2 linked regions of the Ovis aries genome follow. The protein of the gene in region 1 purifies or fractionates together with the protein of each later gene. This does not show direct contact. Links are inferred from orthologs where the notes say so. Each region holds a gene or a part of one and is shown in the gene's direction. Other genes may lie near its edges. The genes, in order: CCDC68 and CEP170.

What was found.
Region 2: the proteins of CCDC68 (region 1) and CEP170 purify together in Homo sapiens (co-immunoprecipitation; 3 studies listed by BioGRID and IntAct, counting the BioPlex papers as one, with this or other methods). This does not show direct contact. The link is inferred for Ovis aries from reciprocal best matches to the Homo sapiens genes CCDC68 and CEP170.

Annotation. Positions count from the first base shown.
Region 1 is NC_056076.1:54,630,666-54,634,491, reverse strand, and holds part of CCDC68 (coiled-coil domain-containing protein 68), read left to right. Parts: intron 1-1,629; coding exon 1,630-1,735; coding exon of another isoform or gene 1,736-1,917; exon of another isoform or gene 1,918-3,018; coding exon 3,019-3,102; intron 3,103-3,826. UniProt on the Homo sapiens protein: Centriolar protein required for centriole subdistal appendage assembly and microtubule anchoring in interphase cells. Together with CCDC120, cooperate with subdistal appendage components ODF2, NIN and CEP170 for hierarchical subdistal appendage assembly.
Region 2 is NC_056065.1:33,284,313-33,288,138, forward strand, and holds part of CEP170 (centrosomal protein of 170 kDa), read left to right. Parts: intron 1-180; coding exon 181-232; intron 233-2,116; coding exon 2,117-2,406; 3' UTR 2,407-2,728; coding exon of another isoform or gene 2,729-2,739; 3' UTR 2,740-3,826.

The DNA of each region.
Region 1 (3,826 bases):
TTTATCAGTCTTCTGTAGATGAACATTTAGATTGTTTCCATTTTTAAAGTTGTGGACAATAATAAACTATATTTTATGTGTATTTTATGACATATATATAGTATGTAATTGTACAGAACTTTTAGTAGAAATTATTTCATTCCTTAGGATAAATAATGATGGCTATCTTTATACATCATTTGTACTTGTGCAAACATTACTATAGTTTTTTCTATAGCAATTTTTTCTACAGTAAAACAAACTTTTTAAAACTCTTTTAAACAAGACTGAACAAGGGGAAAATTAAGATTGTCTTAAATATTGCAAGTTGCATGAAAGCTACTTGGTTTTAAGCAACTTTATTATATATTAAACATTATTGGGTGAACCATAGTTTTTAGTACTATCCTACTCAGAGCACTCAAAGGCTGGCTCAGGGACCATCAAAATCATTGGAACACCTAGAGCATGTTGGAACTGCAGACTCTCAGACCCTACTCCAGCTTGTTGGGTCAAAGTATGCATCTATAAGATTCTTGACAATTTAATAAGATCTTCCAATACATACTAAGTTTGAGAAGCAATGCTTTAGCACAGGATGTAAAACAATGGAAACTCTTTTTTAAAAATAAGAACAAGTTCTGTAGTGTCACATGAATTTCCATGACCTTTGTGATATTTGCAGACTATGAAAAGTCAGAATTGCGATTGCCTTGGATCTTGGCTACTAATTGTAAAGCCATAATACGCTAAAATAAAATAGTACTTTGTAAAAACTCATTTTCCAAAAGTACATTCACTTTACCTCTTAAAGTGTACCATGCAGTCTTGTAGTGCTGTAAAGCTAAGGATTATTATATCTGTTGTACTGAGGCTTAGAAAGATAGTGTGATTCCAAAGTCACAATGCTCCCAAGTCTGGTGGTCTTGCCACAAGGCGTTTTGCCTCAAACTCTCATAATAGTGAAAAGAAGAGAAATAGTCAAAGCTGTATAATCAATACCAGCTACCTAAATGGAGCTTTGGGAAAGGATGAATAATCTAAATTCAAACTTCACTCATCTTTCTTCACCAAGGTTGATATGCACTCAAAATATTAGCCAGAATTTAATTTTTTTTCTTGCCTTATTTACAGGTAGTTAAACTAACAAAAACAAGTAACTCCTCCTCCTGCCCTAAAAGGCAAACACAGGCAATTCGCTACATATATTAAACCCTGTATCCCTGAAAACTGGTTTCTGATATATATGAAAATTCCTGGCCCTGTGTTCTAATCCTACTATCCCAGTAATTATCTGTCTGTTATGGCTGCTAGGCCTACGGGTGCTCTCACAGGTGAGACAGATCAGTTACATAAGTGCTTCATCTGGCTCAGTCCAACTTGACTCAGCTACCTGCTGGAAGGAGGGAAGTCACAGGTGGCCCCAGAGGAGCTTTTGACAGGAACTGATCTTCACATTCAAGTTCATGTCTGAGCTAATCAGAGGCTGCTTCGTGGCTGTTTGTCTTCATGTGTCTTGTTTGGCGTAAGGCATCCTACACGCACGTTGCCCAGTAGGAGAGTAGTGTAGGAGGAGAGCTAGGTGGCACAGCTGTAAAAATAGCGGTATAATGCATTAGCAAATCTTTCCTTTTTCCTTTGCATTTCTAGTTGCCAGGATCTTCAAAAGGAGATTTCCCTCCTCCAGGAGCAGATCTCACATCTGCAGTTTGTGATTCACTCCCAGCATCAGAACCTGCGCAGTGTCATCCAGGAGGTCAGGTTAATCAAGTGTGTTTCTCTGGCAGATGGTATGTTTACAGTGAGAAGACCAAATACACGCGCCTTGTCTGGACTCTGCAACTGAGATCCTTCTCCCCACTGACATTTCCTTTTTATTCCCATGAGACATGGCTCTCTTTTCAGTGTCCTCTTTTGTCCCTTTGCCCACACCTGTGATGTTCTCAGTGAACATATTTGGGAAATTATATTTACTCTTTAGAGGTTTCAGTGATTTTTTTTTTTTTTTTTACAGTGTTCTGAGCCAGGTAATGTACACTGCTCTTTAGAAGATTTTTTAGATTAAGAGATTCAGCCTTCTTAGGGAAGAAATGATCTGTTTTCATTATTTCATGAAAAACGGTTAATTTACATAGGGGGTAGCACAGGGATGTGTTCTGGCCCTTCTTCACTGGAAACATCTCAGCAAGTGAAAGAGGTCATTGTGATGGCAGGCAGATGGATGGTGAATTGCACAGTCAATTTATGTCAATATTTATATTGATCTGCTTTAGACTGAAAACCAGACCTTCATTTTTGTTTGCTATATAATATTTGTTTCTAAATGGAGTCCTTCCAAATAACGCAAATGACTTTCTAATACAATTGCAGCATTTGTACTTGGTTGGCTAGATCTCACCAAAAGGCCAGAGAGTTGAGTCGTGGCAATTTGAGAGCCAGGGAGGATGGAGGGGGCATCCTATTTTATAGATGGGAAGGCTGAGGTCCACAGTAGTTAAATGGCAGAAGTGGCCTTGGAATCCACATGCTTCCTCTCTCACGGCATCATCCTGGAATTCATCACCCCACCTCCCCATCATCCCCACGTTGCCTCTTAGCAGATGTTCTTCCAGAGCAAAGTGGGCTCACCTTACATGCGTCTGGTTGACCAGATCTCTGCTGCAGGGAGTCGCCCTGTGCCAGGCTGTGGCTTTCCGCCATGTCCACTGGCCTCTGCTTCTGCAGGAGGAAAGCATTATGGGACCGAGTCACAGACAAGGACCCGGGTTGCTTCCTACAGGATGCATCCTGCTGAGCTTGGCTTAAACGGGTTTTCTAAAGATTAAAATGTTTAATCGCACCAGCTGTGTGCTTTCTTGTCCCCAGGTGCCAATCTGTCCTGCTATTTTCTGTAGCCTGCTGAGTCTGCTAATGCTCGGGATTTAATTTTGTTTATTTGATAAACATTATTTGACCACAGAAACCGGCACAATTTTTAACTTAAGGAACTATTCTTCATTGTCTGGCAAGATTTTTTCATTTCTATTTCTCAATTCTTAGATAGAGGCCTTAAAAAATAACTTAAAAGAACAAGATAAGAGAATTGAAGATCTGCAAGAAAAAGTTAACATACTGGAAGCCCAGGTAAGGAGGGCCTCTATTGTATATTTCAGTGTGAAAGTGAGTGTGTGTATGTTCAGTGTATCTGTGAGTCTGTCTATGACTGTGTCCTCTGTGTGTATGTGACATGCCTGTGTGTGAGTTCCTTGTGTGATGGTGTACCGGTGTGACACTATGTCCAAGTATGTCTGTATGTGAATGTGTGTGTCTGTGTGATTGTGTGTGACTGTGTGATTGTCTGTGTGACTGTGATTGTCTGTGTCTTTGTGTGAATGCAGGTGTCTGTGTCTGTCTATGAGTGTCTTTTTGTGAATGTGTGTTCATCTTCTATGCATAAGAATTAGAGCTTTGCTGGGGATGTACTCTTAATAATTATTTATTATCAATACTTTGGGCTTTCCTGGTGGCTCAGATGGTAAGGAATCTGCCTGCAATGCAGGAGACCCAGGTTCAATCCCTAGGTTGGGAAGATCCTCTGGAGAAGGAAATGGCAATCCACTTCAGTATTCTTGCCTGGAGAATCCCATGGACAGACGAGCCTGGCCAGCTACAGTCCCTGGGGTTGCAGAGTTGGACACGACTGAGTGATTGAACACACATCAATATTAAGTCATTGTTAAAGGTTCATTCAAATTTTCAGAAATCCTTTCTCTCTTGGGGAAATCAGTGGTACTCTCTCTCCATGTAGACTTGAATTAGAAGCTTGGTCAAGGGCCCTCTTGTGTGAGATCAGCTCAGCCAGAGAGTC
Region 2 (3,826 bases), on another chromosome or scaffold:
GATTTTAAAATTCTAGTCTTTTTACTGAATATCATAATTATTTCATATCCTGTTGCTACAGATTGGAGCCATGTCAGTAATATTAAGGATATCAAATAAAATTAGTATAAGGTTCGTTGCTTATCAAATGAAAATGTTTTAATTAAAGTAAGCTAATTCTTGTCATTGCTTTCCCTACAGGAGATTTCTTCTATCTTACAAGAGCTAAAAAGAGTTGAAAAGCAGCTACAAGGTGAATTTACTACTGATTAAGTATAAAAAGCTACCAATTTTAGAACAAGTACATCCTAAGTGATATTTCTAAAATACTGTTAATTATTTGAACACTATTTGGTTAAGTGTAGTGATGTATGAATAAAGATATAAAGTTCTACATATTCAAATTACTCATAAAAAGAAAGCATAAATAATTAAAAATATAATTCGTAGTATTATATAGTATCTATTATTTGTTTCTATATAATAGATACAATATAGATTATATTGTATCTCTATACAATATAGTATCTATTATTTATATATATTCATAAATTATAGTATATGAAAAATATGTAAAATAATATATTAAAATATGTATATGCCACTGAAAATTCTTTTTGACAATTAGCTTTGTTTACTTGATTTGATAATTCTTAAATTATATTTGTGGTACAACCCATATGAACTAATAACGATTTTATAAGTCATAATAATCATTTGGATGTACAAGAAATGAGTGCACATTGGACACAGGGACCAGAAGAGGGAGTAGGGAAGAAAAAGAGACTGTTGGCCTCCTAAACTTTAACAGGGACATTGTTTTTGGTTGTGTCAGACCTTTAATTATGCACTTATGCCTATGTGTGTTTTGACCTAGAAGTCCCCAGTGGTAAAACAGGCAGATTCCAGAGTCGGTTGCTAATTTTACTCAGTATTTGAATTATCATAGGCATGATGTGTTGGTCCTGGCTCAGGGGTTCTGAATCTTAGCCTCAGCACACCGAAGCGTATACCCCCATGAGGCAAAGTGGCTTGTTTACATGATTGTTAGCTGGCAGGAGGGAGTATGCTTTTAAAAGGACCTCTTAAATAATTCTTCTGTCTGTGAGGCTTCTTTTCCTCAACTCTCCACTCTACCCAATACCACGTTGAAAATCACTGCTGAAGACTTTCCCTTGTCCACTCAAGGATCTTTTGGATTGAAAGCTGGTCTTTATCTGGCCCTTGCCATGGAGAATGCAAGGTCTATTTGGCCTGCTGGGGTTGCCATAGAATATGAATATCTAGACTGTGAAGGATTTTTATGGCTCAGTGGTCCACAAATATATACTTGTGCATGGCAGATACCCTAGCATCCTCACCAGGATGAATGACAACATGCTATGATAGCTTCAGAGTGTGCTTGCTATTTGCCTCCTCAACTTTCATGTTACTCTGAACCCCATCTTAGCAACTAATCCCAATTATCTGAGTAATAACTGCTACTGCTAAGTTGCTTCAGTCGTGTCCGACTCTGTGCGACCCCATAGACGGCAGCCCACTAGGCTCCCCTGTCCCTGGGATTCTCCAGGCAAGAACACTGGAGTGGGTTGCCATTTCCTTCTCCATTGCATGAAAGTGAAAAGTGAAAGTGAAGTCGCTCAGTCGTGTCTGACTCTTCACGACCCCATGGACTGCAGCCTACCAGGCTCCTCCGTCCATGGGATTCTCCAGGCAAGAATACTGGAGTGGGGTGCCATCGCCTTCTCCAATCTGAGTAATAAAGCCAGGAGTAATTTCTTTCAGTCCTAACCGGTATTTTCATCATCCTCTTGTAATGATTAAAGCATATTTCAAAGAGACCTTTCCTGAATGCCACATCTCCAAATCCTTATCTTCCAGCAGGTTCAGATGCCTGTAAGTAGCCTACTCAAGGGACCATAGAAAGCTTTGAGGTTTTTATAATCTATGATATAGATGAGCCCCAGAATTACTGAAAGTGGGGTTTTAAATCCAGAATTGGAAGGATTAACCAAATTAAAGCTCATATAAGCATTAGTAATTGAAATATTATCCAAATCATAAGCAATATTCATATCCAAATTTAGCTGCATCTGTAGTTATGTCTTTTTCCCTCTATTCCTTTCCTTTCTTTCAGCTATCAATGCTATGATTGACCCGGATGGAACTTTGGAGGCTCTGAACAACATGGGATTTCCCAGTGCTATCTTGCCATCTCCACCAAAACAGAAGTCCAGTCCTGTGAATGACCACAGCAGCCCGGGTCAGACACCGGCACTTTGCCAACCAGAAGCTAGGGTTCTTCATCCTGCTGCTGGTGCGGTCTCAGCTGAATTTGAGAATGCCGAGTCTGAGGCTGATTTCAGTATACATTTCAATAGGTTCAACCCCGATGGGGAAGAGGAGGACGTTACAGTACAGGAATGACTTTCTCTTGCTTGTTAAAATATTTACCTGTGGAATGACTAGAATTATTGGAAACAGCGTAGTGTTGACTTTTAGAGAAAATAAGACAGCTTGGTCAACTGCAATCTTGTTATCTCTGTCTTCTTAATTTTATTTATTTATTTTTTATCTATAACATGGAGCCATAGTAATCCTTTCGAACCATTGAGATGACCATTTGATGCACATAGAGGAAAATCTAGATTGTGAAACTTTCACATTTTGTGGTTTTTATGATTTTCAAATTGAATTAGATAATTGCATCCTTTCCCTTCATAGATCTTTGTTTTTTTTTTTCTTTAAGCCATGCTGTGACCTACAAGCAAACTAAAAACCCAACCTTTCTGACCCCCATGTCTCCTGTGCCAAGCTGCTCCCTGAAATGGACTTGCTGTTCGTCTGTACAGATTTGTTAAACACTTATATTTGCTTCTTAATAATAGGATTTATATTAGTATTCATTACCATTGGATACAATGACATTGCTCTCCACAGTCAAACTGACCTTTCAGAACAGTCCTTCTTGTGTTCTAAAATTTTCCAACATATATGTGATTTATATAACTTTGTTGCTGCGTAAATTGTCTTAGGGTTTATGGAAATGAACTATTATGTTTGCACTAAGATTTGCTGGGAGTGGTAGGTGGACATATCTATATATCAATAAGGACTAACCATCGGTTTTTGTATATAGGAGATTGATAATTGTATTTGTTTTAACCCCACAGTGTTTTACTCCACTTTCAAAAAGATCAATTTGGCACTTTTTTCCCTTTTTTTTTTTTTTTTTTTTTAGTGAAAGTAAGATTTTGTCTCATTTTAGGGCAAATGATAAGTAGAAGGATTAAACTAGACAGATAGGTTATAGGTGGAGTCTATTTTTAAAACTAAGAACATGTATACAGGTCCTGTGTTACCAAGTTTGTATGTGACAGTTGAAAAAATTTTTCCCTTGAAATGATCATGAGATTAAAATTTGGGGCATTAGGAAACTTGGAGAACCAGTAGTCATAAGATTAGTAGATAGTTTCACTCCCAAGCAATGAATTGCTTCTGTGTGTTTCCCTGTAGGACCCAATAGTAAATCCTGTCTCAGTCGTATACATTTATAAGGACCCTACAAGATAACGACCAAGGCTTTGGGCCTATGCTAAACAGGAAGCTTACGAAAAGTATCTTCTATTAACTTGTTTTTTCTCTTTTCAGTAAGTTCACATTTGGATAAGTTTAAAAAGAAAGTAATTATCTTTATGTTTCCAGAACACTATAATTTTGGGTAATTCTTAATTCAATTAAATATTATTAGTAGACTGGATTTTTGAAACCCTTGATCCATCAGTTTATAAAGGTTAAAGCTGCAACTTTTGCAAGTTTCATGAAATAGTCTTTAATATTTCAGCAA